Linked DNA regions of Arabidopsis thaliana. The protein of the gene in region 3 interacts with the protein of the main gene of each other region in a pairwise test. Each region holds a gene or a part of one and is shown on either strand. Other genes may lie near its edges. The genes, in order: AT2G44360, AT1G60670 and RL3.

Region 1 (9,991 bases), on a different chromosome or scaffold from region 3:
TCGAAAGACTTGGCGAACCGTGCTGCTGTGCCAGGTTTGGATATTACCTTTTTCGCTCTGGCTGTTGCAAATAAAGGAGTCTGTTTATTGGCTCATTCAAACTTGTTTGACATCAATGCTTACAAGAAATTGCTTAACAGAAATGAAATAAATTTGTGGGTTTTGTGTTATACTTTCATTCATTCTTAACTTGTATCCAATTTTTATACAGATTATGTGTACAATGCCATCGATGCTCTGCCTTCCACAGCTCATCCAATGACTCAATTTGCTAGCGGTGTTATGGCCCTCCAGGTGTGGTTCTCTAAACTCGTATTGTTGTTTCTGTTCTTCTTGTGATAAGCGTTGGAAACTTATTGTTTTTTTTGGCTATAAGTAAACAATTTTCAGCAGAATGATAATTTTCTTTACCTAATATCCAGGTGCAAAGTGAGTTTCAAAAGGCATATGAGAATGGAATTCATAAGTCAAAGTATGCTTTTGGGGTTCTGATTTAGTTCATGATAGCGTTTCATATTAGCTGGCATCATAACAAAGATTTTTTCTTCCAGGTTCTGGGAGCCAACATATGAGGATTGCCTCAACCTGATTGCTCGTGTTCCTGTTGTAGCTGCATATGTTTATCGAAGGTTAGTGAAGACTCTTTTTGTACTCTTTTTCATGTTTCTTGTAGCTTCTGGATTTTCGGCAATGATTTTTTTTTTATTGGAAAATTTGCCATCTCTTGTTTTTGCTTTGTATTGACTGTTGACCTTTTCCATGCATCATTGCAGGATGTATAAGAATGGTGATTCCATTCCCTCAGATAAATCTTTGGATTATGGTGCAAATTTTTCCCACATGTTGGGATTTGATGATGAAAAGGTGAAAGAGCTCATGAGGCTTTACATCACCATCCACAGGTCTGTATTAATTTTCGTCACCCATGCATGTCTCCTTAAATAAGCTTAATTATCTTGTAAATTTGTTTGTTCTTTTTAAGACTTTAAATAGACCTTTGTATAACATTTTGCTTTTCTACTATTTTTTGCTCTAGTGATCATGAAGGTGGAAATGTTAGTGCTCACACTGGTCACCTGGTATGTATATACTCTCCATGTGTCAATTTTAAAGGATTGACCTACCTGAAGTTTCTAATGGTTCTTTTGCTAAAAATTCTTGTTCATGTAGGTTGGTAGTGCACTTTCAGACCCATATCTGTCATTTGCAGCTGCATTAAATGGTTTAGCTGGGCCACTCCATGGTTTGGCTAATCAGGTATCCTCCCTTGTCTATATCTTGAATAAGTCTTAAATCTTCAATCTACAATAGAGCTTCGTAAGTGGCTTTTTGTATTTTATCTAGGTAGGTTGTGATAGTTTGATGATACAACCATAAATTGGAGAAAACAAATTCTTAGTCTTTTTTTATTATTGTTTCAACAGGAAGTTTTGCTTTGGATCAAATCAGTCGTAGAGGAATGTGGAGAAGATATATCAAAAGAACAGTTGAAAGAATATGTTTGGAAAACATTAAACAGTGGCAAGGTAAAAACAGGAAATTCCTCTGCCTTGACATTCTTTACTTTCTGGTCTTGTACCTGAATCCCACTTTTGAAGCCAGCCAACAAGACTGATGGAGCATGCGAAAATGAATTAACATCTTGTCTACTAGTCATCATAATAGGCTAATATTTCAATTTATTGTGTGATACTGTTATGGGTCCTCTTATTTACGACCTCATAGTTTGGTCAGTTGCTCTAACTGCTCCTAGTAAGTAATACTGCCATAAGAGCTTTGGATCCTGTTTTTCCCTATCCTAGTTTACCTTGTGGATGTAATGTTACAAGGATAGTCTAATGATGATCTATTGACGAGTCTTGTTTTGTCTCTAGGTTATTCCGGGATATGGTCACGGTGTTCTGCGCAATACTGATCCAAGATATGTATGCCAAAGAGAATTTGCCTTGAAGCATCTACCTGACGACCCTCTTTTCCAGCTGGTACTTTTTTTCTTTCTCTTTTCTCTTTTCTGTTCGGTTCTCAAAATTCTATCAATGTTCAGTAGCTAACAAAATCCTTCCAACTCTGTAGGTGTCAAAGCTTTATGAAGTTGTGCCTCCTGTTCTCACTGAGCTTGGAAAGGTAGTATCTCTATCCTTCGTTTACCATGGTGATCCTTCAATATTCCACCAACAACTCCACAACACCTTACCTACATGCTAGGGGCTTATGAATCTCTTGCGAATCAATTTTTTATTTACTTGCGAATCCGATGATGGCTTGTTACAGGTGAAGAACCCGTGGCCAAATGTTGATGCTCACAGTGGGGTCTTGCTGAACCACTATGGTCTAACCGAAGCAAGGTAAGAAGTAGACACCTCCTTCAAGTATCATTGAGCCTTAGGATAGCACTCAAATATAATATCTGTGCGTTTTATAGGTACTACACCGTGCTCTTTGGTGTTTCAAGGAGTCTTGGCATCTGCTCTCAGGTAACATATATATATTTACACATTACGCCTTTGTTACTACATAACATTTAAAACAGAACTCATATGCTCTCCATTCTCATTTGTGTTTAATTCACAGCTTATATGGGACCGAGCTCTTGGACTTGCACTTGAGAGGCCAAAGAGTGTTACCATGGACTGGCTTGAAGCCCATTGTAAGAAAGCTTCATCTGCTTAAGTCACCACCGAGTCCTGAGTTGTCGCACTCTCTCGTGTTTCAACAAAAGTCATTCTCTTCCACACTGGATAGCTTTTTTTGTTTTTACCTTCTATTGACAGAAGAAACATTTGTTCATGTAGAAATTGTTCCTGAGAAACACATGCTTGGTGCAAATTTGCATTTCCGGGAAACTCGTGATAATAAATAAACAGTTGTATTCAGTTTGCGTAAAAATCAAACATCAATATCACTCATGAATTAAAGCTTATCTTGGTTTTGATATACATAAAAGAAACAAGACTGCAAAATAGAAAACTTCGACATGAGTTTATCAAAAAGAAAATGGGATTAAGAGCTGCTGGTATTGTCGGTAGTAGTCTCCTTGTTAGAAAGGTCATCATCATCAGCAAGAGAGGCTGTGAAGTTGAGTCTCTCTTCGGCGCCGGCAGTGATAACCGGCATCCAAACATCAGCTGTGCCGCTAAGAAGCGTCTGAACCTGTGGATCAGAAGCTATAGCTGATGATATCATCTCATCCACATCATCTAACTTTGCTGATAACTTGTCCAATTCCTTAGCTATCTCCACCTGAAAACACAAACAATCACACACAAAGCCTCAGATTTACATTACAATGTGTACCAGATATATGAGTGAACACAGGATACAGACCTCATTGAGGTGTTGAGCAGACTTTGATGGCACTTTAGTGACTTCTAAACCAAGAGCTTCAATCTTAGAACGTAGCTCAACCTCTTCTGTATTTGTCAATGATTCTACCTAAGAAACAAAAATCATCAGTAGGCAACAAAATCATCTGTATTTGTCAATGTTGTAGTAACAATTAGTGTCCATTAACAACAATATCAAAAAGCTCTTGCCCTTTTATTTTTTTGACGAATTAGACAGAAAAAGGGAAATTTGACGAATAGAAGCGGCTCGTAATTGAAACGAAAATCAAAATCAAGAGGAAACGAATTTCAACAGATCGTTAACGAATTAAAAAGAAAAGCGAAACCTGTTGAAGAAGACCCGAAAGAAGCTGAAAGAGCTGCTCGTCGGGTTTACCCTCCGCCATATCTCTCTGTGATCTCTCTTGAGTTATTTTATAATCAAAATAATCAATTTTAATTACTGCTCCTGAATTCTGAATTTCTGATGATGATGATGATTCCTTCGTGTGATCGTGTGATTTAAATCTGATACTACTAGTTTGGGTAAACAGACGACGAATCAACGAAGCGGCGCGTGTGAATCTCACGCGATAGTGTTTTTTTAATTGTTTGTTTTGTATCTCTGACGTGGTTTTTGACTTTTTGCTATTCGGCGGATCAACAATTAAATAATGATACAAATCTTTTTTTGGTTCTGTTTGGGTTTCTGAAGGTCAATGTTTATCATCGATTAGTGGTAATTTTCAACTTTATGTAATGATTAGAACAAATAAAGTCAAAAGGCTTTTTATTCAAAAGGAAAATAATTAACAAACATGAAAGCTTGCAACAACAATTCAATGAAAAAAGAACGTCCAAACAACAAAAGAGTTTCAAAGCATTAAGAATCCGAGATAACTTGATAGAAACGTAAACAAGTTTTTAGATCAACTTGAGACAAGCCTTTCTCGCTTTCTTAGCAATCTTAGCTCTTTGCATCTCCATATGTAACTCTATCTGCATCTTCTCCATCTCTCTTTGAGCTTCCAACATTGCAGCTAACTCCGATGCCGCTGAGCCCCTTCCTCCTTTATTCCCACCACTCTTTGTGTTTCCTCTTGCACTTCCTCCTCCTCTTTTTGGCTCTTCTTCTTCTGCTTCTTCTTCCTCTACCGCGCAAGAATGTAAATGCGTGCCATAATCACATTCCTTGCAATAATACGACCAGAGATTATCTGGAACAGTCTCTTGGCAAACATCACAGTTAAAGATCAAACCGTTCTGGTAAGGAGAACGGTAGAGCAATGTGAGTGGATGTGCGTGTCCTTCACGCTCCACGGACTCAGGCATGGACACACATCCAACATGAACATCGTACTGGCAGATAGAGCAGTTGTAAGTGAATCCGGATCCATACTCACCGCACGCATCACACGTGTAAGTTGACTCGTAAGGTGGGGAATACAGCAGTATCAAAGGGTGATCCGGGTGAGCCTTGTGACGAGTCTCACGTGGAAGCTCAAAACATGACTTGTGCAAGAAGTAATCGCATTCTGACTTTGTGCATTTGAAAGCTGCACCTATCAGGTCGAGGTCGCAACCAGAGCAAATGATCTCTTCTTCAACTTGGGCCTTGTGACTGCGCAATGGATGGTTGTGGCTCGGATGCCTCACCGACGGTTTTCTTGCGGCCATGATGGCTAATATCTTCTTCTTCTTTCTTCTTCTTTTTGTGTGTTTGTTATTGTTTTCGTGATTCTTATTAAGCTAAGGGATTTGAGAGTATATATTTATAGTAAAAATAGTAAGACGACTTTTGATAATGAGTCTTCTTTAGGGTGAAGTAGTGATGTGTTTTGGTTTGACTATTTTACCAAGTTGTGTAGCTTATATACTAACTATATTGGGACAAAAATGTCAGTACGCGCTTTGATGATGGTGAGATATATACAAGATTGATTCTCATTTGGAATTCAAAGTCAAGTGGTGGAATTATTCTTCATGATCCCATCCATCACGCCGTCTAGTTTTATTGTAACCTATAAATTATAAACTGATTCAATAGCTAATTGTAATTAAATAGTATTATAAACTTTTGAATTATCATATATATGAACAATAGAGTTGACATAATGAAGGATATGAGGTCAATTACGCTGGGTCTCTAGTTAATGCATAATATTGTCTTCAAGTAATCTAAAGAAACAAACTCGAAATTACGATTTTATTATGTGGAAAATGTATATAACGTCATCTATAATTAACTTCTATATTAGGGTACAGAGATTGACTTGGATAGTTGAGAAAAATACTTACAACATATCACACGAGAAAACAAAATTTTCAAAAGAAAGAACAATCACAAGCTTCATTATTATTATTCAAAATAAAATAAAATCATTGTATCAAATTGATCACTCGTTTATTCGATCAATAATAATATCTCCGCTTTGGACTATCCCATAAATCGAGTATAGCATTATTAGTGTCGTTTCTAATACGTGCCTCGAGCTGTAACGCCGCCATCTCATCTTGAGCCTTCATCAACGATTTCATCCTTGAAACCGCAGAGCTCGCTTCTCCTTCTTCCCTACCTCCTCCTCTTTTCTCTGACTCATGATCTTCATAGACCGCGCAAGAATGCACATGCGTCCCATAATCACACTCTTTGCAGTAATAAACCCAAAGATTTTCCGACATTTTTTCTTCACAAACATCACATATGAACTTAGCACCGTCCTCACGACCTTTGCATGGTGTGTTGTAGAGAAGCGTGAGTGGGTGTTCGTGATCTTCGCGCTCCACGGTCTCAGGGATAAAAGCACATCCGACATGAACATCATATTGACATTCAGAACAATTGTAAGTGAAACCAGATCCGTACTCACCGCATGCGTCGCATGTGTAAGACTGACCGTACGGTGGGGAATGAAGCAGGGTCAAAGAGTGGTTTGGGTGAGACTTGTGATTGGTTTCACGAGGTAGGTCGAAACATGACTTGTGCAAGAAGTAATCACAATCTGACTTCATACACTTGAAAGCTTGTCCGGTTAGCTCGAGCTCGCATCCAGAGCAAACGACCTCATCTTCGTCTCGAGCTTTAAAGACACGCAGCGGATGGTTGTGACTCGCGTGCCTCACGGATGGGCGATTAACAGGTTTTCTTGAAGCCATTGTGTATAGGATTGGTTGTTTCAGTGTAAGAAACGTTTAGAAAATATATATAGCAAAATATGTGGATGATTTGTCATTTCCATTTTCCGCTAAACAATTCTCAGTTTGGTTTTGATTATTCACCAAGTTGTAGTTTAATATATGGAAGACGGTTGACATTAGAGTTGCATAATCTTGGACACGTACGAAACAATCACCAGAGATAAGATTTAAAAATCTCCAATTTTGGTGATTGTTAGGAAATAGTGACAAAACTAGAATTCATCAATAATTGAGCTTCCCATATATAATTCAAGTGGATAAGGACTTGATCAAAGAATATAACCATTGACTTTCGAAGTCGTCGACTGAAAATGTAGATCCCACTGTTAACATTCACACGGTAGAATAAATGACTACCACAAAACAAAGTCTGCCAACAAATCAATCCAAGCCATTAATTTATATTCACATATACCAAATTACAAATAGCATTTTAGAACTTGCAAAATCTCTCTAATGAACCAGTAATTTGTGCAGCAAAAACAAAAACAACACAATGGGAAGGCCAAAACCGGAGGACTCAATTCGACATTTCAGTCATCCTCATATTTTGTTCCACTTATCTGTCAATCCTGAAGACCAATCTTTTTCATCTTTTTGTTTTGTGGTTTGCAAGCTAAAACTCCTAAATCTTCCTTCATACTCATGCAAACCTTGCAAATTCTACATCCACAGAAAATGTTCCGAGTTACCTCAAAAAATCAGACACCCTAACCATCTCTATCTAATCCCTTCTCCCAAATACCAAGAAGGGCGATTCCGCTGCGACGCTTGCGGGAAAGACGGTGATGGATTCGTTTACTGTGGAGATTTCGGAATCGATCTTCACACGGTTTGTGCCAACATGCTTTCTCGAGTCACCCACCAATCTCACCCTCACCACCAACTTTCTTTAACAATTTCCGTGCCACCCGGATCCGCTACTACATATTTTCGGAGACATTTTTAATAATAACATTAGCAGGAATTAGTATAAATCCAAAAAAAAAAAAAGATAGAAGAGATGCTACGGATTAAGGAATAACCAATAATGCAATGAAAGTATGGTAAAGAGAAGCAATGAAGAGTAAGGACAAATCACAACATTATATGCACGATTCAATGAAAATTTGTATATTATTTCCATAGCATTGCGAAAAAGTCGTAGAGTGGAAAGTGTTGGATCGACATCTCACGTTAGAAATTGCATAGCACATAACAAAGTTTTTCAGCCATCCATATTGTTGATCATCACTGTTCCTTACATATGTAAATGGTTAAATAGGCCAGTATATAACCACTCAGCTTGTTATTATACCATACATTTGTATAGCAATTAAAATAGAAAAGTATATGAATAACACTTACAAATTAAATAACTCACACGAAAAGGAAAAAAAAAAAAGTGAAAAACAATCACAAGCGTTTTCATTAAATTGATCATTCGTTCATTCAATCACCAATAATATCTCCGCTTTGGTTCAGCATATAAACCGAGTATAGCATTATTAGCGTCTCGCTTCATACGTGCCTCGAGCTGTACCGCCGCCAACTCATCCTCAGCCTTCATCAACGACTTCATCCTCGAAACCGCCGAGCTCATCGCTTCTCCTTCTTCTCCTCCTCTATTATTTGGCTCATCGTCTTCATAAACCGCGCAAGAATGCACATGCGTCCCATAATCACATTCTTTGCAATAATAAACCCATAGATTCTCCGACATATCTTCTTCACAAACATTACATATGAACATCGCACCGTCCTCACAGCCTTTGCATGGTGTATTGTAGAGAAGAGTGAGTGGGTGTTCGTGATCTTCCCGCTCCACGGTCTCCGGGATAAACGCACATCCGACATGAAGATCATATTGACATTCAGAACAATTGTAAGTGAATCCGGATCCGTACTCACCGCATGCATCACACGTGTAAGTCTCACTATATGGTGGGGAATGAAGCAAGGTTAAAGGGTGGTCAGGGTGAGACTTGTGACTGGTTTCACGGGGTAGCTAGAAACATGACTTGTGTAAGAAGTAATCGCAGTCTGACTTTATACACTTGAAAGCTTGTCCCGTTAGATCGAGCTCACATCCAGAGCAGACGACCTCATCTTCGTCTCGAGCTTTAAAGACACGCAGCGGATGGTTATGACTCGCATGCCTCACGGATGGGCGATTAACAGGTTTTTTTGAAGCCATTGTGTCTGAATTTGGTTAACAAGCGTTTAGAAACTATAAATATATAGCAAAATATGTAGATGACTTGTGATTTCTATTTTCATTAACATAATACATAGTTTGGTTTTGATTATTCACCAAGTTGTTGCTTAATATACATAACCTTTACAGAATATTGATAAAACAATAAAATTCGCCAGTAATTGTGCTTCCCATGTATAATTCATGTGGGTAACGACTAATAATCATTGACTTTCGAAGTCATCGCCTAAATAGTCCTCGAAAACAAAGTCACACGGTAACAAATGACTACCACAAAACAAAGTCTTCCAACATATCAAATCCAAGCGACTGAATTATTTTTATACCAAATTACTAATAGCATTTTAAAACTTACAAAAATTATCTAAACTAGTATAGTAAGAAGATATTTGTGCAGCAAACAAAAACAAAACAGTGGGAAGGCCAAAACCAGAGGACTCAATTCGACAGTTGAGTCATCCAACATCCATTGTTCCACTCATCTTTCAATCCTCAAGACCAATCTTCTTCATTTTTTTGTTGCATGATTTGCAAGCTAAAACTCCTAAGTCTTCCTTCATACTCATCCAAACCTTGCAATTTCTACATCCACCTAAAATGTTCCGAATTACCTCAAAAAATCAGACACCCTTTCGACAGAAACCATCTCCTCTCACTAATCTCTTCTCCCAAATACCAAGAAGGGCGATTCCGCTGCAACGCTTGCGGAAAAGACGGTGATAGATTGGCTTACCACTGTGGAGATTGCGGCATTGATCTTCACACGGTTTGTGCCAACATGCCTTCTCGAGTCACCCACCAATCTCACCCTCACCACCAACTTTCTTTAACCTTTTCCATGCCACCTGGCGGACCGGGATCTGCTGCGGCGTCTAGCTTCCAATGTTGCGTGTGCCGTGGTCTAGGGTCTAACTCGTGGCTCTACAGCTGCGGAGAGTGTAGTGGATTTGATGCTCATTTGTAATGTGCTAGAAGAAAATTAGCTACTTCAACAAATTTGGTCCATCATGTTGAAAACCGGAAGCAACCACAGTTTGTTGGTACGACGCCGTCTGTTAACGTTCCGGTTATTAATAATCCGTATCCTTTGATGTTGCCGACGATTACGAGTCCTATGATTAGACCGATGATTAATGAGATGATTAATAATCTTGTAACCAATAGGCCACAACCCACAAGATCCAAGCCAAGTCTCTCAACTTCATGAATTGCTAGGACCATTTTAGGAATGGGCAGTGGCGGACTGGTTGATGGATCCGTCGGTTTTCTTGGG
Region 2 (12,861 bases), on a different chromosome or scaffold from region 3:
AGAGACTAGATGTTACCTGCATTGATCTGTATTATCAGCATCGGATTGATACTCGTGTTCCTATTGAAATCACTGTAAGCATTTTTACTTTCAGATGAAAGGGAAGTTACATACTTTAGTACTTCAAGTGTGCTTGAGTTTATCTCAGTGAGCTTCACATCTTTGGCTTGGTATATGTTTGGTTTCTGCGTAGGTTTCTTTCAGAAAGTGCTAACTTATTCATATAGAACCAATTTCTGATGAAATGATATTTAGTATAAGCCATTTACTATTGTTTCCTCTCTCTGATGTGGGATGCTTACTTAGTTACTTTTCCTTCCAGTGTGGTTTTTTATCATCTCCCCTAATGATTTTTCATTTGACTAGACTCCTTAAGGGTTGGTTCTAAGCTCTCTAGTTCGCTTACACTTCCTGACCTTTATAGAAAGCTGGCACCTTTTGCTAAACTTAAACCATTTATTTTGATTGTCAATACCAAGATGGGAGAACTGAAGAAGCTAATTGAAGAGGGTAAAATAAAGTACATAGGTTTGTCTGAGGCCTCTGCCTCAACTATCAGAAGAGCGCATACTGTTCACCCAATCACCGCCGTGCAGTTAGAGTGGTCCTTGTGGACAAGAGACGTGGAAGAAGAAATTGTCCCAACCTGCAGGTATGCAGATTTCATCATCCTTTCATGATGCATAAATCCATCAATTATGTAACGTCTTGTCTTCCTTTCTTCAGGGAACTTGGAATTGGGATTGTTTCTTACAGTCCTCTAGGAAGAGGTTTCTTTGCATCAGGACCTAAGCTTGTTGAGAACCTAGACAATAATGACTTCAGAAAGGCAAGTGCAGAGGCTTTTTGGATGACTTGTTTGATTGATGAACCTTACATAACCTGTGGATAAATCAAATGATTTTATATATAAACTCAATTATTGCAGGCTCTACCAAGATTCCAACAGGAAAACTTGGATCACAACAAGATTCTCTATGAGAAAGTTTCTGCAATGTCTGAGAAGAAAGGGTGCACTCCCGCACAACTAGCCCTCGCTTGGGTTCACCACCAGGGAGATGATGTTTGTCCCATTCCAGGAACCACTAAGATTGAAAACCTCAACCAGAACATTAGAGCTTTATCAGTGAAACTCACTCCTGAAGAGATGTCTGAGCTTGAGACCATTGCCCAACCAGAGTCTGTGAAAGGAGAAAGATACATGGCCACAGTGCCAACCTTCAAAAACTCCGACACTCCACCATTGTCTTCTTGGAATGCTGTGTAAAACTGTCTGAGAGTTTCTCTGGCCAAAGGATGATTTATGTATAGAATATGTTATTTTCTTCTACCCATCTTATATATACGGTGACCATTCTCTGTATAGTCTTAGTGACCTATCGCCATCAGCATGAGTTAAGCGTCCCAGCTGACTTAGGTTTAGAGTTTAGGCACCTAATGGCTAATGCCAATGATGAGTCCTCCCATCATATTTGAACATTTTACCATTAGTTAGAGCCAATGATCTGGAACCTGCCTACAAGCTTCCAATGAGACAAACTATAGGTGACACAAATTGTAGATAGAAACATGAAGACCAAACACTACCTAATAAGACAAACCTTGCCTACTCAAGAAGATCGACATTACTCATTGACTCAAGACCATGAAAGAAAACAAATATCGATTACGTGAAGACTACTGAACACAAATTGATGACACATCTTTGAAGAAATATCACTTAAACACGTACGTAGTTTTTTGTTTTTGGTTAAATCTCATGTAAGAAAGATATTTTGTAAAAGCACTTTTGTAAAAGACATAGGCAATTTGAGAGTTTTTTTAATCACACCACTCATCAACCCAACTTCAACAACTACTCCACTCAGTTCTAAACTCTACAAAAGAGAGAAAGAGAGAAAGCGAGTTGTGACATAAAATCCATGGCTGAAGCTTGCAGAGTTAGGAGGATGAAGCTAGGAAGCCAAGGCCTTGAGGTATCTGCGCAAGGCCTTGGCTGCATGGCCCTCTCCGCTCGATACGGTGCTCCCAAGCCGGAAACTGACGCCATCGCTCTCCTCCACCATGCTATTAACTCCGGTGTTACTTTCTTTGACACCTCTGACATGTATGGTCCTGAAACCAACGAGTTGCTCCTCGGAAAGGTTCGAGTTTATCTTGTTTTGTTCGAAAGAGTGATCAAGATACTTTAGTTTGTTCTGTTTCTTGATTCTATGGTACTAACTTAGACCACAACAAGATTTTGTATGAGAAAGTTTGTTGCAATTCATTTTCTTGTCAGGCTCTGAAAGATGGGGTGAAGGAGAAAGTGGAGCTTGCGACCAAATTTGGATTCTTTATAGTAGAGGGGGAAATTTCTGAGGTAAGAGGAGATCCTGAGTATGTAAGGGCAGCGTGTGAGGCTAGTTTAAAGAGGCTAGATATTGCCTGCATTGATCTTTATTATCAGCATCGAATCGATACTCGTGTCCCTATCGAAATCACTGTAAGCCTCCTCCACAATCCTGCTTCATGTCATGGTTTCAATGTTTCCAAGTTGGCTCTGAAAATGATTCTTTGTCTCTGAATTCCAAGATGAGAGAACTGAAGAAGCTAGTTGAAGAGGGTAAGATAAAGTATATTGGTCTGTCAGAAGCTTCAGCTTCAACTATCAGAAGAGCACATGCTGTTCACCCGATAACTGCGGTGCAAATAGAATGGTCCTTATGGTCGAGAGACGCGGAAGAAGATATCATTCCTATCTGCAGGTGTGAAGAATCAAAATCAGATATAACTTTCCTCTTTGTTTACATGTTTGGTTAACATTTCGTTTATGCTTCACCAGGGAACTTGGGATTGGAATCGTAGCTTATAGCCCTCTAGGAAGAGGCTTCTTAGCAGCAGGACCCAAACTTGCTGAGAATCTGGAAAACGATGACTTCAGAAAGGCAACTACTGTTATTTGCATTAAAACACATGATTAATATACTGTACTAATTTGTGTTTCTTTATTGCAGACTCTACCAAGATTCCAACAAGAAAACGTAGACCACAACAAGATTCTCTTTGAGAAAGTTTCTGCAATGGCTGAGAAGAAAGGGTGCACTCCAGCACAACTAGCCTTAGCATGGGTTCATCACCAGGGAGATGATGTTTGCCCCATTCCAGGAACCACTAAGATTGAAAACCTCAACCAGAACATTAGAGCTTTGTCAGTAAAACTCACTCCTGAAGAAATATCTGAGCTCGACTCCCTTGCCAAACCAGAGTCTGTGAAAGGAGAAAGATACATGGCCTCAATGTCCACCTTCAAGAACTCCAACACTCCACCGTTGTCTTCCTGGAAAGCCACTTAAAACCGCATGAGAGTTTCTCTAGCTAAACCTACTAAAATTAATATGCTAAGGGCTTGTGTAAGCCCACAAAAATAATATGTAAGAGTTTGTGTTGATGTTCAGAGTGTTCAATGTATAATTTTCTATGCATTTCATATACTGCGACCAACCTCTAAATCTAAAACATCACCTTTTCAACCATTTAGAAAAATTTAATACATGGAAAAAGAGGAGCCATACCATATGGTAGCTGATTTGAAGATAAGATTTGAAGAATGAAAATGCCTCTGAAAACCAAACCTTACAAAGATGTGTTCTTGATACAAACTTTAAAGTAACTCTCATTTAAAACCTTACAGAAACAGCTAATCTATACAACCAACTTTTAACATGGATCTGTGCAACGAATTCATATCTTGGATTGACCGCCAAAGCATTTTGGCAACGGAAAAATAATCAGTTATGGAGACGTGAAAGGATTTGTAAAAGGGGTTTTTGGCTAGCCTGCGGTTCATTGTTAATATTAGCCGACAGCACAAAGGGTTCCACAAGATCCCATCTTCTTCAATCCTGTGTTTTGCAAGAGGTTTAGCAGTTGACAAAACCATCATCTTTCATGTGGGTCACGGTGAACAGCTGCCATTTACCAGAGGTTTCTTGTGCTAGTTCCTTTAGCATTGGTCAAAATCCAGTTTCCTCCCCCATCAGTTTCTTGGCTCCTGCTTCAGATAGATGCTCGAGGGAATGGTATAAGATCTCGGCTGAGAGACAGACAGATAAAAAATTATATTTTACCATCAAACATTGTGTTTCCATCATTCACCAGATTTAAAGCAATGTTCTTGTACAAGATCATAGTTCCCTAAAATACTAGAAGCCGATTTTTAGGGGTTATGGAAGTCCTATGATTTGAAGCGATTAGACATTTTTTCATGAAACAGAGGCAAATTTGGTAAGGGAAGCATTTGAGGTTTTTAATCCCTTACATATTCAGGAATATCCACGTTCAGAGAAAATGCAAGATTGCTTACCTGTGTGGCACTTGTCACTAAACTGCTTGCAAGATCATTGTTAATTGAGACAGGCAGAGGCGGCATCCGGCTGATGATCCCAGGCATCTCCTTCATGCTGCAGTAATAATAAGTAAAGAGTATAGTAAATCAAGCTTTCATAGACGAGAAGGTGAAGGACAACAGAGGAAATGTATCATTAGTGATTCAACCATGCTATTAGATCCACATACTCATTCAAGATGGCACTGATGTTATTTCTTGCCATATAAAACAGACTGACGTTATCCTGTGGCTGTATGCAGAAAATAGGATGTCAGGATGGGAATTCCATTACGAAAGGACAACAGCATGTATCCCAACCAAACAATAAGTTGCATTGAATAAAACATTGTGCATGTGAAAAATACATTCTACGATCTTTTTAAAGTCAATTTTCTGCTAATGCAATCTTTTTCTACCAGCTAGCATTTGGATCAGATACAAATCAATTACCTTGCACACAGAAAGGTTTGAGGAGATTTGACTGAAAGCTTGAGCATTCTGCCGTAGACGCTCCATAACCGCATCACTTAGACCTAGGAGAATAAAAGTTTGGAAAATATATATGAGACCGTAAAAATGTGACAGGTGAGAAAAAGGTATCAAGCTAACAAGATTGAGTTTTCTTGGCACAACTAAGGAGATGAGACAATAACTGAGAGAGTCCAGGAACTCTCCAACATCGATAATGCCTATATTCAGGCATGAACAAGATGAACAACAAATTGCCTAGTACATTTGATTGAGATTTCAAACAAGATGCAGTTTGTCTTTCTAAAATAATCTTTCTTTACAGTTACAACCTTTGCAGGAGAGGGAAGGAAATAATACCGACAATACTGTTACGGTGTTACCCAAATAGTACTAACCTTCAAAAGGCATGCGTGCACTCTGGCACATATGGTTCATGGCATATGTAGCATTTTGTTGTGGCTCAGTTGAGAACATGTTCAGTTTTGGGGGTAAATCCACTACCTAAATCAAGGAGAAATCAGTTACTTGTGTGTTGGGTATCTCAAGGAGAACAAATTTGTAGCTGTTTTGAACAAAAAACCATTTGTAGCCAATAACCTCTTGTAAAGCGAACTATAACCTAGGCCACCAACCGTTATCTGGTTATTTACTAACATTACATACCTTTCTATAACTAACCTTCGTGCCAGTACTATGTTCTTCCCCTTTTCTTCGCTTTTGCTGAAAAAAAGGATTTCAATCTTAGCCCAGACAAACTCAAAAGTCATGAATTTAAATAGTTGAAAGATATTAGATAGCAAACTGGCAGTTATTATTAATGTTAAAAAGGCCCCGTGTCAAGACTTATGTTTGTATGAGTCATATATCTGCTTGTACAACTCAAGTCATAAAAAATCTATCTATTTCTTCAGCCCAACTTCATAAAAAAAATATGACAGGATAGATAGTATGGATAAGCCAATAAGGTAATATTTGGCACTATAATCTGTCAACTTTTTTCCCCCATTTATTATATGAATCTTAACACTACAGTGTAGGCCATACTGCAGAGGATATAACCAATGTTTAACCATCGCTCATAGAAATCTTATCCTTCATAAAAAGTAACATATCAAAATAAACTTCAGAAAGTCGAAAAAAGCCCAAGGCTATCTGACATCACTCGTTTGGCGATATTAGTTTCAGGGTAACTACAGAAATCAAATCAAGCTTTAGGGTCAAATCAAGTTCCAACATGACTCCAGAGCTAACAGAAAGCCAGATCTATCGTCAGCAATACTTGTTATTACTCTCCTTGCACACTCTTAACCATACTTTAAACAACCTTTATGATATGGTAAGGTGTCTTTTCATCAATATAGCAATAGAACTTTAAGCCTACCTTATAGCCAAAAAAATATAAAAGAACTTTTCCCATAGGACTTTATCTTTAACAAAGCATACACCCAAAGTAGCGTCACTATGTTTTTCCTCCTTTTTTCATCTCCCAAGCTAAATGACGTTACCAAGATCTCTTTGAATAACAACTAATAAGAAGTCTGCAAGCCACTTATGAAACTTAATGACAATGCATTGGGAACTTACCGTCATCCATTTACATCTCATTGCTACATCCCGTACACTTTTATCTGGTAGAGTTGCTGCGATCTTTACATACTTTGTAACTTGTGGTTCATCTTTAAATCTACAAAAGACATGACAAAGGTTTTAGGCAAACAAAACAATAAAAGACAAACTCGAAACAACATAAAACAGCGCAAGGTAAGAAACTAACACAGAGAAAAACTCAGCCATCTTTCGTAGAAATTTTCTGATACAAAATACATCTATAAGAATCTGAATCAGCTTATGATTCCAGATAACAACACGAGCTATAACAGTTCATATGAAACATAAATGCAAAACCTTTTCCTTCATCTACATATAAAAATTTATCTACTCTAACATTGTATAATAGCTACGAAGTGAGAAAATTTGCAGAGAACGAAGAACAATGGAGAATAACAAAAATACTTACTTTGAAAGACCTTTCTCCAATATATATTGTTCCTCAACAGACCAATCAACAGCCAAAGAAGCTTCATGTTTGAGTCCAGTAACCGAAGTCGGAGAATTTACAGTAAGATGAAATCCAGAAGAAGCATTCATGCTCGAAGTCGCCGAAAACACTAAACCGGTCGTGCTAGTACTCGGTACGCAATAATTATCCATCGGAATCATCACTCAAAAGCTATTTCGTAGAGATTAAGTTGACCTACAACGAAGCACGCCCAAAAACATGTTCAATTTAGGGTTTTAGCAATTTCAGAATCATACGGAAAAAAATCCGATTAAAACCCAACAGAAACCTAAAAGAGCAAAACCTGAGCAAAACCCACCTCGGATTTAGCCAAAATAGAAGATGAGTATGCTTCTCCGTAGCTCGATAGATGGCGTCGATGCAAAAACCCTAAACCCCCAACGATTGGTGATGAAAGTAGAGATACTGAAATCGTGAAGCTACAAAATTCAGAGAGATCGCAATAGAGAAGAAGAAGATTGAAGAATCGTGATTCGATTCGCGAGAGAGTGGTGACAGCAAGATGATGCGAAGAACTTTCGAATTGCAGAAGCTGGCGAGGAGAGAGAGAGAGAAAATGGTGGTTTTGTTTTGTAATGGTTTTTATTCTATTAAGAAACAGAACCACTTTTTATTCCATTGTGGTGGTTTTGCTTTTTTGTTTTTGTCTAGTCCACTCTTTGAAGAAAGATGGTTTGTTCCTCCTTATTTTTTTAAACTTTTACTCAATTTTTGTGAATTACACAGTCACCTACACTTTGGAAATTCAGATATTTAAATTACAACAAGGTATTATAAATCATAAAGTTTGGTATCCATTTCACTAAGTGACATTTGTTTTTTTTGTTTTTTTTTACATGTCTTATGTGAGTTATGAATAATTAAATTTGTTTCAAACTTTTACATGTGTAATTTTATGATAAATCTTTTATTTACTTATATACCTAAATAATCAAGTTGAATTTGTGCATAGACAAAAATGAGACATCAAATTAGTTAATCGATAATAGTAGGATTCGCCGGGGAGAAGGAGAAAAAAAATTAGATGCATGGGTCTCAGGTTCGAGTAATAACCAAAATAACTACAACTTCATTTTTGCATAGACGTGGAGATGCTTTTTGGTTAGAAACCTCGACAACCACTAACGAAGATGAGGACAATGAAAACGTTGTGTTTTGACTTTTATGCCCCTCTAAACCCTAAATTCAATAATTTGGGTCGTCACTCGTCAGCAAGCTGGATCTAATCCACCACTCTCTCCAATTGTCATTCACTCCGGTTTTGCTATTTCCAAGGAGAGAAAGATGATAGCTGTGATCGGATTGCTTCTGGGTTTTCTAGTATCAGCATTGTTCTTAATCCAAGGAAAGCGAAGAAGAACAAACGACAATCAAGAGAAGAAGAGATCTAGCAGTGAGCCTGTAGAAGATGTGGTAAGACCAAAAAGTTACAGCAAGAGTGAAGTCGCAGTACATAACAAAAGGAACGATTGTTGGATCATAATCAAAGATAAAGTCTATGATATTACTTCTTATGTTGAAGAACATCCTGGTGGTGACGCTATTCTTGATCATGCTGGTGATGATTCTACTGATGGCTTCTTCGGACCTCAACACGCCACTCGTGTTTTCGACATGATTGAAGATTTCTACATCGGGGAACTTCATTAGTAAAAGCTTAAAGATTTGAGATTTGATTGAAGATTTGAGATTTCTTCTTAAGTAAGCTTAAAGATGGCTTTTTTAATTCTCTTCTCATTGAAGATTTGAGATTGCATTACCTTTTTGTCTTGCTAGTGTAACACTTCTTCTTCCATTGTATTGCCAAAGTTTCCTCCTTTCTCTTAATTTTCATGGTGAAGCTATGCTCTGTTTCAAGTGTTCTATGCTTAACTCTGTCTCAAGTGTTTTAAATCCATCAATTTTGAGTTTAATCTATTGAATTGCTTTATGGGAATCAATAGGATCATAAGAACATAACTTTTTTACTGCGATGAAGAATCATAATATTCGACAAAAAAGCATAACAGAGATCTCGAGTTCGAGTTCTATCTCTGATATAGACCTAAATCCCAAAGCATAAGCATTGACATCTGGTTAACCAAAACAAACTACCAACGTTCATATGATGAAGGTCTGCCTCCAGGACGGCTAGGACGGTCATAAGGACCTGGTCTGCTTCTGTAGGGTCTTCCCTCATCGCGTATCGGTCCCATATCTCCATATCTGTCACTTGTATCCCTTGCGTATCTGTCCCTGTCATAGCTTCTCTCTCTCCCGCGATATTCATTCTCAAGATGATGTTCAGGCATCCCATACCTATCACTCACAAAACGGTCTCCTGGTGGTGCGTATCTACATTGTTAATACATCAAAAGGTCATGACTTTCCTAAAAGAACACATGTTGGAACATTTATTTAGACCTGAGGACAAGAGCTACAAACCTCTCAAATGGATAGTGATCACGAGGCTCATACTTGTCTCCACTGTCGAAGCGGTCCCTGTAGCTATATCGTCCCCCATCTCGGTCACGGCGTCCATCCATGTAGCGGTCAAACTCACGCTCCCGCTCCCGCTCCCTCTCCAGATCACGATCTCCATAGCGATCTCGGTGTCCATCTATGTCTCCAATACGAGAGCGCATCGCAAGGGGAACTCTGAACCGTTCTCGATCGTCACCAGTTGATGGGCAATCTCGAGCCCAATGACCAGGGCGTCTGCATTTAAAGCACTCATCCTCGGTTCCCTTCCCTCGAGATGAATAGCCTCCACCTTTCTTTAATTGGTCTACATCTTCTCCACCAACTTTGGGCTCAGCTTTGTTCACGGAGATGACCTTATTGCCCAACTCCCTTCCATGCATGTGCTTAATTGCATCATCAGCTCCTCTGCGATCAGTGAATGTAATAAACCCAAAACCACGTGGACGCCCAGTATCTCTCCCCACCATAATCTACAAGTACGCAAAGAAGACCAATAATGTTATTAAAATGCATATTGAGCCAGGAACAAGATATATTACTAAGAACCAGATGTTACATTAGAGTTAAGAAATAAGCAGATGTATTACATTCCTATCTCTCATATAGCATGTCCTAGAAGTGGCAAACTCAGAACATTTACAAGCAAACAGAAGACGGTAGCAAGATTCACAAATTTACTTCATTTCAAGTCCTTAGAATCACACAACACAAAGTCAAACTACAGCTGCATACTTGTAGAAATACTAATCCACAAGAAGTATCACCACAACAATAATCCTAGCAAAACGATGTTGGAGATTAGCCTCTAGCCAACCATACTTTTAACCCTTACAACAGACCTGTTACCTCAAATCAGTTTCCCACAACAAATCCACAGGAATGCGTTTTCCATGCTAATTCCACTAAAAAAGAAGACTAATATTCTGATCAAGACCTAAAAAAGAAGACTAATATTCTGATCAAGACCATTTTTGACCAGAAACTTATCATCTTGGTGTATTGATAGACTACTTAGAGATGCTTACATGTGCCAATAACTGTACTTTTACAATTACAACAACTAGTGGCTCATGATGAATGAGTACAAGAAAACCATCTCAGTGACTACTAAAGCAGATACCACAGGCAAGAGAATAAAAGATGGTTAGTCCTGATTGGTGTCAAAACCACTGAAAAGAGAGCTCAGCTGCAATTTAATCATAATATCCAACAAAACACAGTGACGTCAAACCAAAATTACTGCACTGATGCTGAGACAAGAGCCATGATCTATCTCAAAACTCTTGCATTTCTAAACATACGGCTCTCAAACAGATTTTCAGATCAAGAGGAGGTTGAGATGCATGTTTACTTCCTAAGAAAGCTCTACTAATTCCTCGACTGCATCCTTCAACAAGTCAATAAACCTCAATATCTGTGTGTGCTCTTCTACAGAATAGATGAGTCTTAGGTTCATCAAACAAAACTATCCTACAATCTCAGAGGTATCATTCACTAAACACAGGTTTCAAAACGAGTCTCTGAGACTTCTGATCATAAAGTACGAGAATCGATACAAGACCTGACACTCAGTGATTTTCCCGTAGCGGTCAAAGGTACTCTCAAGCTGTCTCTCTGTGACATCCCACGATAACCCTCCCACGAAGATTCTGCTCTCAAGATTTCCATCGTTTTCTCTATCTTTCATTGTGAAACTCTCACTGAAACCAAAAACGCATAAACATAGTTAGCCCACAAAATCAAACTCGAAAAATCAAAGCGAAACTCCAACTCTTACTTAAACAACTCAAAAAAATTCTATTGAAACAAAGATTCGGGTCAATAAACTTGCTGAAATCCGAAGTAAGAAAAAGAAACCCTAGAAATTTCGATATGATAAACCCTAATTACTCACCGCTAATCCAAAGGTCAGACCTTTCTGCGGTTTTGGCGATTGGTGATGGACAATGAAATAACTGCAGAGGATTAACTTCAACTCAATAAGTATATTTATTGGGATAAAATGTTGTCCACTCAATGACTAAAACACCCTTATAAAAGTTACTTAATTTACAAAAATAACCTAAAAACCCTAAAACCCTTCTCTTTAGCAAAGCTTTCCCCTTTTCAGTCTCCAAGCTCTCTTCTGCGGAACTCACGGTACGAAAGTCTCCTCTTTTCTATTTACTTTAATCCGAAGTTTGCTCCTTTACTTTTGATTTGTTGGAGAATTTCGAATTCTAAATTTGGGTTTTGTCTCTGTAGAGTAAACACGAAGTAAAAATGATAAAGAGACGATTTTACAAGCTTGAGCATGGTGATAAAGACAGTGGATCCGATTCATCGTGCTTCTCTTCTGACTCTGATCCTGAGACGGAAGAATCAGAACAATCTGAAGAAGAAGACTCTGTTGCAGAAGTTTCCGAGGACGGTGATGATTCAGGAGATGATGAATCCCCAGGTTTGCTTCTTCAATTGAGCAATTATCTCTTTTAGTTCTCTTGTGATTGTACTCTCAGAGAACCTTTGGTAAAATCTTTGCTTATTCTCTGTTATAGCTGCTGGCGAAGACGCTGATGTTGATGATGGTGATGATAACTCTGATGCTGATGACTATGGTGGGACATTGGAGAAGATGTCAATGAATCGTTTTTTAGAAGAACCACCCGAAGAAGAGGAAGAGAACTATATTCTCGGTTGTATGATACAATCCAAATCGGTTTATAAATGCAGATATTGTCCAACCGTTGTTTGCTTGAATGAGAACACAATGCAAGCACATGTTTCATCAAAGGTAAATTAGGTAGCTTTGAATTAGCATTTGAGTGTTTGGTCCTTTTTGGAATCAAGTAGTAGATGATAAGCACGGGATTAGTTTTGAGCTTTTCCTCATCAGTCTTGTAGTTGATGAGATAGTATTTTTTGTCGTTTGACTCATTTCAGAAGCATGCTCGTATGGAGAAATTAGTGAAAGAAGGAAAGATTAGAACTGATGACGAAGAAGTTGACGATCTAGAGACAGCATCTCAGGTTACATTAGAGAATTTGCCAACGAGTGCTTTTTGTTTTGTCAATGAGTCCTAACCAAATTCTTGCACAAATCTTAAATGTAGGAGAAGGAGAAAAAAGGAAACAGAAGATCACAAAGACAGGGAAAGAGATCTCAAAAACAGGAAAAGGTAAATGTAGCTTGCTCAATACTGAAGCATTGTGACCATGGTTGGTTTGTTGGAAACCTAATTGATTCGTGTTTTCAATATAAACGTCTAGGATTCATTGACCAAAAATGGAGAAAACGAAGAAGTTGAAGATCCAGAGACGCCATCTCAGGTGAGATTTAAGACAATGCCATCAAATGCTTGTGTTAGTCCAATGAGTCCTAACCAAAGTCTTGCAAATATCCTAAATGTAGGAGAAGCAGATAAAAGGAAACAGAAGAGCTCGGAGAGAGCTTAGGAGATCACAAAAACAGGAAAAGGTAAAATTTGCCTGCTCTATA
Region 3 (10,497 bases):
ACTGTCAAACACAAAAAGATTCATGAAATAGATTACATTAGAAAATGATAAAAGAATCTAAGATCACTTGAGTCAAATCAGACTGGTTCAGAGAATCCCATAATATCCAATAGCTTATTTGGTTCGGAGATGCATACCGAGTTGTATAAACCCCTGCAGCTAATGCAGTAGCTCCTCCAACAGTCATAATCAGCTTATTTCGATCAGTTAATAAGGTCCTGAATCCCCCTGCCAATTTCATATAGAAGTAAGCAAAAGGAACAAAAAGAACTGATCTTTCCTTATTCAAAATCAAAAGCAAAAAGATATATTTTTCTTGATTTATCAGTTTCCATACCTTCGATGTGACTGAACATTGTGTTGATTGCAGCAAGCCACTTCTCTCTTTCACCATTAATCCTTTCCATAAGCAATCTTCTGTTTTGCTCTTCAGTAAGTTTGGCTTCATGAGCCCGACCTTCAGCTTCAGCCATGGCCTTGACACGAATCGTCTCTCGCTCAAGTTCAGCTCTCTCTTTCTCAGTTTGGCGATGCTGAGCTTGGATCTGTTCTTCTGTGGCGATTTTTGCCTTCTCTTTCCTGATAGAAGACGCCTCTTGCATCTTAACCAATTCCACATTATGATGCCTCTGAGCTTCATGATCTGTCTACATTACTCCCAAACCAAAATCATTTGTAAGATTTTTATACTTCAGAAAGATTAATCCATCTACGAGAACACATAAGAAAAAAAGAATAACCTGCTGTCTCTTTCTGGCCAATTCATCCTCATATCGCAGATTTTGCGCTTTGGTTTGCGCCTGTGTCTGCAAAAGATTTCTCTGGTCCTCAGCCAATTTCTGCTGTCTGCCCTGCCCATTTCAAATGCCCCATAAAACAAATCATATTACTTTGCAATCATGTCAAGAATCAGATAAAAAAAAATGGCAGAAAAAATGGAAAATTCAAGTTTACTCACAATATCATTGTGTGCTTGAATAGCTTCGTAATGAGAAGTCTCTGCCGTTAATTCAGCTAACCGAGTTTTCTCCTGCTTCCTCATGAGATCAAACACCTAATTGAAAAACCAAGAACCCAATAAGCTAAGAAGAAACCCCAATTCTGCAATCACCAAAAGACCAATCTCCACAGATCAAAATCCAATTTTTTCATACCATTTTTGCTAAATCCTAATTTCATTCCCTAAATAGATATGAAGGGTCACCTGCTTGGAATGGGGAGAGCTATTGATATCTCTAAGAGCTTTAGCAGCTCTCTCAAGAGCCTCAGGATCAAAACCCGATCCTTTAGGCTCATCAGGCTCTGCTTTAGACTTCGATGAAGATTGATTCGCCGGAGAATCTGACGGAGGAGGAGAAGGAGAAGAAGAAAAGAAAGGAAACCGGAATCGAGAAGAATCGGCGTAAGCACGGTTCTGAGACATTGACATTGAAGTGAACGCAGCAGCTATCGCCGCCGCGGAACACAATCTAGAAGCAGCCATCGATTTTGATAAAAAGAAAAGATTGACCCTTATTCAGAGATTGAGAAATAGAGCTAAAGGTTCATGAAAGTTGGGAAATTGACGGTGAATGATGGTCGATTTCTGGGTTTTGCCGACCATAAACCCACGGTGGCAGCTAGCTTTTAGGGTTTAAACGGTATTTTTCAAAAGGACAAAAAATAAAATGATAATAAAATCTCGACCGTATAAGTTTACTTTGCTTGGAGAATAATCAAAAAGCAGATCTGGGCCTAAATATAATTGGGCTTATTATTGCTTGGAGAATAATCAAAAAGCATATTTTCATAGGAACTATTATTGGGCCATGTTCTAAACAGATTCTTTTTTTTCTTAACTCGAACCACGACTAAACCATTAGTGTAAAATTTTGGTTTTTAAAAAAATGTTTGAAGTTTGCTAAGTTTTGTTCTCCTCCACTCAGCGACGAAAGATATATATTTATAAGATTCCGTTTGTGTAGATCACGGGTACGTAAGATAATTGTTCTTCAGATAATTAATATAGTTAGAAGAAATTATTCCACAATCCACATTCAAATTATTAAAACGACCAAATACTGATTAGTATATTCTCGCAGGAATATCAAACAAAAACACACCATTTGAGCTAGTGGATTATGGATATAAGGATTATTCGAACGTACGTACTTGAAATTTTTATAAGTTTAAAATATCGGCTATATTCTACTATTTTTGTCATATTTTTAAGTACAAATCTAATCCACTTAATTATACTACATAATTTTAAACTAAACATTTTTTTTTTTATATAATTGTAATTTCATCCATTTAGTTGAAAGATGAAGTTCGAAGTTGAAATAAATGGTTATGCATGCACCGTATAAAAAAATCCACAACTTTAATCACTTTGACTGTAAAATTATCTTTTGTTTAATGCTTTTTTTTGAAAAAAACGTTAGTTCTTGTCTAGTTCTACTTGCAACGATTTTGAACGCAGTATTTTCTATAAATAACTGAAAGACATTTACGGTTTTTTAGTTTTCAAATTTTTATTTATTTAGTTCTTCATTGTTGTTAGTATGGGACTATGGGTCGCTATTTTGTGCCAGGAATATATACGAGACTTGTGCTTTAAAATATTACAGAATAATGTCTCTCTTTTTCAGAAAAAAACAGATAATAGTTTGTCTTTTCTTTTTCTTAAACGAATTCGAATTGTAATTATTAATATGGACTGTATAAATCCAATTATCCGTCATGGTTCATATATGGGTCGCAATTTTTCGGTATACAAGGCATGTGCTCTAACATATTACAGAATATATATACCCCTCTTGAGCTCTTCTTTTCTTTTAGAAAGGTATATGTAATGTATTTTTTTATTATTTTTTTGCACAAAACGAATAATACTCGAGATGAATCAAATTGACAAAAAGTTTATAGCTCAATAGGGACCTCTCATCTTGACTTTCAAATTTAGTATTAAGAAAAATTGTAATAGGTAATCTATCGTTTCTGTTACTCTTTATCACTTAAAAATAAAAATATTATAATATCTTGTAAAATAGTGTTTTATCTTATAAAAATAACATTTTTTGTTTGTTTTAAAAACACACGATAAATGAATTTGCTTATTTACAATTTTACGATATGCCGTGTTTGCATGCATGCATGAGTGCATGTACTCTCCTTAGTTATAGTAGTTGTTTTAATTTTCATCAACGCAAATATTATAAACGAAAACCATAAATAAAGCTATGATATTTATATGACAACGAAAGTTAAAAAAACAAAACAAAATAAGAACGCTACATTTTCGGGGACAATAGTTATGACCACCGTCGATTTTAGCCCGTTTGTATTCAAATTACATCCCATGCAAAAAGTTTCCCCCCAAACACAGACGCGTGTATATGAGGTATCTGACGAGAACTAAACGATCCAGTATTGATTTATCCGTAAGTAAATACACAATTTTCTACTCTATTACTTTTATTTGATGATCTCTTGATTTTTCTGCGAAACCGTATCAAATTTCCTCAAATTACAATGTTCATGGAGATTCTCATCAGGCTACGCGCCAAAACGACGAGATGAGTGCAAAAGTGAATCAAAACATGTTCTGAATCGTTTTTTCAGGAGTTTTGATATTTGGCCTATCGATCTTGTTTGTTAGACTTAGATCGATTTGTAAAGATTTGTGTATGGATGGAATTCAAGGAGAACTATAGTTTGTCCGATTGTTAATACTTTATACTATATGAAACCACATTGATTGATTTAGATAATTCTTACATATTCGTAACACAAAAACAAGTAAATACATTTAGATATCTTTGCTTAGATGTGCTTTGTGAATGGTTTTGGAACCATGTCCACTTCAGTAGAGCCTGCAAGACATAAAATCCAGATGAGTTAACTACTTCAAAAGACTAAAAAGATGTAGATATCAAAATGAAGAAATCAGCTAGATAATCTTGTTACACAAATTTAGCAATTTTAATAATTCTGAACTTTAACTATAGGCTAACCAAAAGTTAGTAGAGAAGGGGGTTACGTTATACTATTTATGTTTTTGTTTTTTGGGGGCAAAATACTATCTATGTAAGTGGAGTAGTTTTTGCAATGGTAAAGACAAGAAACATGGAACATGCTATCAGCCTATCACTATGTGGGACTTTGATTTTTGTTTGCTAAAAGACATATAAAAAGATGGATGGAAGCTTTTCATCTTTTCACCAGGAAATGGCTTTTTGCGTCTATGACTTTTTATATATATATATAGAGCTAATGGGCTAATGATCAATTTCAAGAACTTGACAAAACTAACTTTTGAATTCTCTGTTACTAGATTGCTTTTGGCCCCACAGTTAGAAGTTGGGACAGTTCATAGATATGGGAAACGGTGGTGTTTACTATATCATAAAGCTAGATTTTTTTTTTCTCTGGCCTGGTGAAACAAGAAGACACGCATAAGAAACTGGAGAGTGCATGTCTATTATTTATGAATGCTTTCTTATGGATAATTGTTGTGATATTCTGTTTACCTTTTGGAGTTCCTTTAATGCTTTCAGTGGTTGTTTCCATTTGAACGGTAATTGGGATGTGGATAACGCCCTGACTCAATGTCATTGACATCCCTAATGAGGAGGCTCGTAGTGTCGCCTTACTTCTTCAGCTGATTTGCCGCCAACGGCTCTTGCAACGTTATGCCAACGGTCAGGAGTGTCCTGGTCATATGTAGCCAACGCCCTTTCAAATAATTTGTTCTCCTTACGTGTCCAAGAAGCGCTAGAGCTCATTGAGTTGGAAGCCATATAAAATAAGTATGTATATCGAGAGTACAAGATCTGCTTCTTGGGAGGGAGAAAAAAATAAGAAGGAAGATGTATCTATGACTTGATAAAAAAGGAGTTGATTTGGTTAGCTAAGAGAAGGAGAAGCTCCTTATAAGTAGGAGGAAAAAGCATGGTGTGGGGTTAAGCCAGTTGGAAGAATATATACTTTAAGAGAGTGACTATTTCTTTTAGCAACCACATAAAGTCTTAGAGAAGGTACACACAATTGTGAAACAATCCAATGAAACTTGAGATTCCTTGACCTTGCAATAGAGAAATATAAGATGTTTTCTTCCCCGTTTTTCTTTTGTATTAATTGCTACTATATTTCCGTACAGTAAACGACTAAGTCAGTAACCCATGCATGTTTGTGGACCTTCCCTTACCTCTTTAAGGCTCTTGTATAGATCTAGTCATCACTAGACCGTAGTATCGGATGCTTATTATAAACACATGACATTGTTAGATTATGTTTGATGCTTCTTTTGATCTCCATCCATTTTGATTGGAAATATCAAATATCTGTTTATGATGGATAGGTTAGTGATGATATGTCTTTTCGTAGATGCCATATATAGTCGAAGTCATTTGGTAATGTCATAAAAATAAAACACAATCCCACTTCGTCGATTCTTGCCATTCTTGTCTCATGGCTCTTATAGCAAATTTGGTAATAGAATTATCTGAGTGATCTCTTTTATACATTTGGCTCGTGTTGAGCATCTGTTGATAAGAACAGAAACTCGTGCATGCAACCCTTATTAGTGAATATCATCAAACTCTTTACATGGCTTGATGCTCTTTAGCTTTAAATTATATTCCTTCCAATGAGAAGACAAATATCAGAGTAGTACTAAGAAGTGATTTGGCTTAATTAATAATGAAAGATTAGCCCCTAAACATGTAATCCTCTGGACCGTGATCACAAAAACATTCTTTGGCAACCATAAGATGATAAGAACCGAACCTTGTTAGGTTATAGTATTATTGATTAATTCGTCATCAAATTAGTCAATATTTATCTTTTATAGGTATAGGAATATTTGCTTTGTCATTCTTTTCTTAAAATGGGCTAAGAAGATTGGCTGATTTAAACCTTATAGTAAACTTGAGCAGCTACTTTTGTTGCATACCACTCCTTTTTAAAGATGTACTCCGTTTGGCGCATGCATAAAAAAAATTAACGTGGATATAAAACTGTAAAGCATGGAGATAAAATTCTAGAAATTGTTCTATTTCAAAATGTTTTCTAATGCTTAATTAAAAATTAATTTTATATACATAAAATCCGGAGAATGAGTTGAAACAGTTCTGTACGAAAAATTGTCAATACTTGTCATATTATTTGTTTGCAACTTTATTAAAACTTAACAGAATTATTTTTGTGTATAACCCTTAAAAGATATTTTAATGATAGTAATTCTAAAGATATACACAAGCGTAAGATATAAATTAAGTACTTTTACAAAGACACTCCAACAAAGTGTTTTTTTTTTTTTTTTTTTTGTGTGTGTGTTTAGTTTGTTCATATACGAGATGCATATTTAGCTTTGGTTTAGTAATGCATGACACAAACGAAAAAAAGAAAAGAAAAAAAACAGCACCTTTTCGAGGATATTCAGGTGTTCTTGTTTATATTTCTCTCTTATTTAACATTGAGTGGCAATACAAGTGGACAAATTCCAAATCTTGGGAAGATCTCGTAGATGAATTTTATCGACGACATCTGCGCCTTTCCTACGCTTCTTCTGCTCCTTTGTTTTGGACATTAATTGTTTAACTACTCTGATCCCTCTCCACTCGCTATGTTTTATTGTACTTATTATTATAAGATATAAAATAACAAAAAGATGAAGATATGGACTGTATTTCTTCTCCAAAAAGTTTAAAAATATCAGCTCTCGTAGTACCCTTTTGGTCTCTATTCTAAGCTTTGTGATAAAACATTCTTTTGGCAGATACTCATCTCCTTTCAACTTCATCTTCCCACTCAACAACTTGCCTTCTTGGAATATTTCTTTGGACTCTTCCATTTGGATCCGTAACTTCACGTCTACGCCTTCATTGCTTATGCTAAGCACTCACATTCATTACTCTTCCATTACGAACGTCTAAACTATTCCTGCTTCCAAGTTTTGTATGAATAAGTTGTTTCTATGTCCGCTTTTGGCTAGTCATGTGATTTCTTATAGCAAATTTGTACCCAAAATACGTTGAGATTACGTTGGGTTTGATCAGTTAGGTTTATTATGATTTCTTAAGAACGAAAAACTTGCTTTTTCCAGTGATTTTGATAACGATTTCATTATTTGAACAGGCCATATATGGGGTTTTACCCTATACCCATTTAACCTATATGTCAATGTTCAACGTACTCAATTAACAATGCATTTGCGGATATTTTTTACGTATAATGTGGGGTTCCTAATACTGTATATATATTACAGTATGGACTAATAGTACTACCTCCCTATCTAATGACGGGACTAATAATATTGTTGTTGTCTCAGTCCATAGGGGGGACAAATTCTCTTTTCTTCTTTATTTGATTAGATTCCGATCTTACCTGATCCTTTTGAAGTGGACCTCATTTGACGTTTCGAAGATGCTCTTAATTACTTCTTTTCGAGGTTAAATATAAAGAAATCTCATGGTGGCGTTATTATGGGGGCACAAATTAAATGCATGCAAATGAAATTTCCATTGTTTAATTACCATATATGTTCCCGAATCCACGTATTTTGATGTCATCATAAACATCAGAACCTTAACTTCTGTTTTTGGGGATAAAATACAATGTAGTATTACAAAAATAATTCATTTTGCCTCCTGACACTGCACGTAATTGTCCGGAGACGACTATTTTGGCTGCAATATTGTAAGTAAAAAGTAAAAGCCGCCAAATCATTTTTGAATACACGAAAAAAATCTGGATACATGTAATAATTTTATTTTCGTGTTACTTTTTTTGTTAATTTTTTTTCTTTTTACGTAACGGAAATGTAGTAATCGTATATATATACGATTAGAGTTGAAAAGTAGGATGATATGACTGCGTTAATCGTAATAATCAAACTATTCACTTAATAAATTTTGTTTCCATGTATAATATTGTAAATTCGTTTAGGATGATATGACTGCGTTAATCGTAATAATCAAACTTATTCACTTAAATTTTGCTTCCATGTATAATATTGAAAATTCGATTGGGATGACGTAAGTGAATATGTGCGTTACAAAAAGTTTAATGCGGATGAAAGTTTGAGAAAAAAAAAAGTTGACCAAAGAAAAATATCTCGAACTATCCGAATAGGGATAACCAAAAAACACTACATGATGTTATAAGATTGGAAAAGAGCTAACATAATTCCTAAGAAAATATCTCTTGGTGATTACATTTGCATCGAAGACTAATCAAAATTTTGGGCTCAATCCAACTTTCCGGCCATGGCTATAAATTTGTTAACAATTTCATAAATTCTTCTTTTGACTGTTTTGTTTATATGAAGAAAAGAAAAGATTGTGAAAAGTATTATTATACATAAAACCACACAATTTTCTATTAATCAATCTGTTTGTTATATTTTAAAAAAAATCACCAAATCATCGAATTTTCTATTTATAGCTGTTTCATCAACTTGGCAATTAAGAAATTTCATACGGTCCATTAATTATCTATTAATCTAATACTATTAGTGGGCTTGAGATCCATTGATCATTAACTTGTCATGGGCCTTGTAGCTGCCACTAGTTTAAAAAGAACTATTTTCCCCCTTAAATGTGCCTTTTTCTTGATAATATACAGGTAGTTACGTTATGGTTTTTAGTACTACGTTATCATATAGTATAAAAATAAGAAGATGCTTAATATTGTTCTATAAAACTATAAAAGGCATCTAACAAACAGGTTTAGCGTAAGATGTACTTTCATCTAACCTATACATCTACTGAATCTAAACAGGTCTACCACCTACTCTAAACGCGTGCCTTACCAAAACTTGGAAAATTTTCAATTTTGATTATCATGTGGGTGAAAAACATCAAAAAATTATGTTGATGTATTATCTAAAGTCATTCACAATTAATCAAGAAGTGTACTTGTTGTGAGACTGAGAGTAGCTTTCACTTGTCAATGAGTAGGTACCTATTCATTTGGCCAATAACAAAATGACAACAAAAATTTACCTAAAACTTAAATAATTTAGTGATTTGGTCAGTAAGCCTAATTAAACCCTCAAGCAGTTTACATCACAATCAAGCTTGAAGCTTTTATTTGATTTGGCCAATGAAGGAGTTTATAACCCTAAAACAGTTCACATCACAACAAAACCATTTGACTCGTTTTCTGATTAATTTGGCCAATGACGAGTCATCTTGGGCTTCACATATGGACATTGATGTTGTGTCCATATTACGACACACCTTTATCATTTTCCATTTCAAAAAAAGAAAACAAAAACACCCATGCTATTTTTTAAAACACACTTAAGAAACAAAAATCAAATTAAATCTTTAACCCATGATATCTACTACCAACAACTAACAATATTTTACATCAAGTGTGTCGTCAATAGTAGCACTATTATCTAATTTAGATCTAGATAAAGCCAGATAACACTCTTTTGAACTTTCCATGCTTGAATATTTCTTCTATAATATCATCATTAAGAAATCTTCTCCCATTCTTTGGCTTCTTTTAGAAAAGATACTCTATTAGATTTTTTAGCGAGTGAAAGAAGAATAAAAGATGGACCAGTCAACAAATGGAGACGAACAAGTCTTTATACATTGTTGATAATTTGCGTTTGCGAAGGATGTGGTCACAAGAAAAGAAAGTATTCCGTCCCTCTCTCTAGCTAATGGCGTGTGATGTGACTACTACACTCTCTCTTCTATACATGTTTATTTTTTCCAGAAATGTCTGTTTGAATATAAACTTTTTAAGTGAAATTGTTGGGCACAACAGAAAACTTTAACACCAAAAAAAACGCGACATAACATGTTGCATTGTTGATTAGTTTCTTTCTACTAGAGATTAGCATTCTCAGACTCCGAACGGTGACTGCGTTTTACAGTGCGGAAAAAATGCGGTACGGTTTAAATATTAACGAAAATACATAAATACATATGTATAAATAGAGATTTTAATACTGTTATAGCACTGTTGCGGTACGGTTTTGGGTGCGGTTTTGATCACCATTTACAGTTTTTTTTATTCAGATTAGATTTCTGTAGGTAATTTTGATTAAAATCTTTTGGTGATAACGCAGTCTTTTCGTCTGGACTGGACCCACGCGAGGACCCAAAATTTGACCAATATGCGATCCAATAAACAAAAAAATGGTAATTTAAAATGAAATAATCCACATGTATGATGTCAAATGTATTATTTTACATTCACAATTAAATACAGGTCAGCGAAGTAATTGTTTTGACAATAAAAATGGTAAGAATTACTTGGAACGTCATCTAACATCATTTTAATTAATACTAACATCATCATTTTAAGTAAACAATTTTTTTAGAATAATAGACAGAAATTAAGGTGGAGTTCATCTTTTTGATAATTAGCATTAATCCCTACTCTACCATGTTTATAATTGAAATCATTATTTCATATTTTGATAATTAGAATTAATCCCTACTCTACCATGTGTATAATTAAAATCACAATTTCATGAAAAAGATCAACTAA

Evidence for each region.
Region 1: the proteins of RL3 (region 3) and AT2G44360 interact in a two-hybrid assay, tested with the Arabidopsis thaliana proteins (one large-scale study listed by BioGRID).
Region 2: the proteins of RL3 (region 3) and AT1G60670 interact in a two-hybrid assay, tested with the Arabidopsis thaliana proteins (one large-scale study listed by BioGRID).

What each region holds. Positions count from the first base shown.
Region 1 is NC_003071.7:18,317,855-18,327,845, forward strand, and holds AT2G44360 (ecotropic viral integration site protein), read right to left. Parts: upstream 3,843-9,991; 5' UTR 3,731-3,842; coding exon 3,671-3,730; intron 3,433-3,670; coding exon 3,325-3,432; intron 3,241-3,324; coding exon 3,001-3,240; 3' UTR 2,878-3,000; downstream 1-2,877. Other genes in the region: ATCS (Citrate synthase family protein), read left to right, coding at 1-34, 212-294, 423-472, 552-629, 774-902, 1,037-1,079, 1,171-1,257, 1,425-1,526 and 5 more; AT2G44370 (Cysteine/Histidine-rich C1 domain family protein), read right to left, coding at 4,248-5,000; AT2G44380 (Cysteine/Histidine-rich C1 domain family protein), read right to left, coding at 5,736-6,479; AT2G44390 (Cysteine/Histidine-rich C1 domain family protein), read right to left, coding at 7,957-8,437, 8,549-8,697; AT2G44400 (Cysteine/Histidine-rich C1 domain family protein), read left to right, coding at 9,242-9,682.
Region 2 is NC_003070.9:22,338,298-22,351,158, reverse strand, and holds AT1G60670 (hypothetical protein (DUF3755)), read right to left. Parts: upstream 7,575-12,861; 5' UTR 7,219-7,574; intron 7,095-7,218; 5' UTR 7,061-7,094; coding exon 6,858-7,060; intron 6,525-6,857; coding exon 6,425-6,524; intron 5,561-6,424; coding exon 5,504-5,560; intron 5,342-5,503; coding exon 5,236-5,341; intron 4,903-5,235; coding exon 4,820-4,902; intron 4,620-4,819; coding exon 4,558-4,619; coding exon of another isoform or gene 4,524-4,557; intron 4,443-4,523; coding exon 4,346-4,442; coding exon of another isoform or gene 4,289-4,345; exon of another isoform or gene 4,113-4,288; intron 4,076-4,112; coding exon 4,019-4,075; 3' UTR 3,535-4,018; downstream 1-3,534. Other genes in the region: AT1G60690 (NAD(P)-linked oxidoreductase superfamily protein), read left to right, coding at 1-74, 480-652, 727-829, 929-1,267; AT1G60680 (NAD(P)-linked oxidoreductase superfamily protein), read left to right, coding at 1,923-2,144, 2,282-2,485, 2,575-2,747, 2,825-2,927, 2,997-3,335; CB5LP (cytochrome B5-like protein), read left to right, coding at 8,205-8,570; AtRZ-1b (RNA-binding (RRM/RBD/RNP motifs) family protein with retrovirus zinc finger-like domain-containing protein), read right to left, coding at 9,011-9,254, 9,345-9,853, 10,945-11,070; AT1G60640 (stress response protein), read left to right, coding at 11,646-11,823, 11,921-12,156, 12,306-12,392, 12,476-12,541, 12,633-12,692, 12,775-12,840.
Region 3 is NC_003075.7:17,248,944-17,259,440, reverse strand, and holds RL3 (RAD-like 3), read right to left. Parts: upstream 5,152-10,497; 5' UTR 4,782-5,151; coding exon 4,605-4,781; 3' UTR 4,512-4,604; intron 3,855-4,511; 3' UTR 3,679-3,854; downstream 1-3,678. Other genes in the region: AT4G36580 (AAA-type ATPase family protein), read right to left, coding at 1-1, 138-228, 338-647, 741-851, 959-1,054, 1,205-1,483; AT4G36560 (uncharacterized protein), read right to left, coding at 6,452-6,784. UniProt on the Arabidopsis thaliana protein: Probable transcription factor.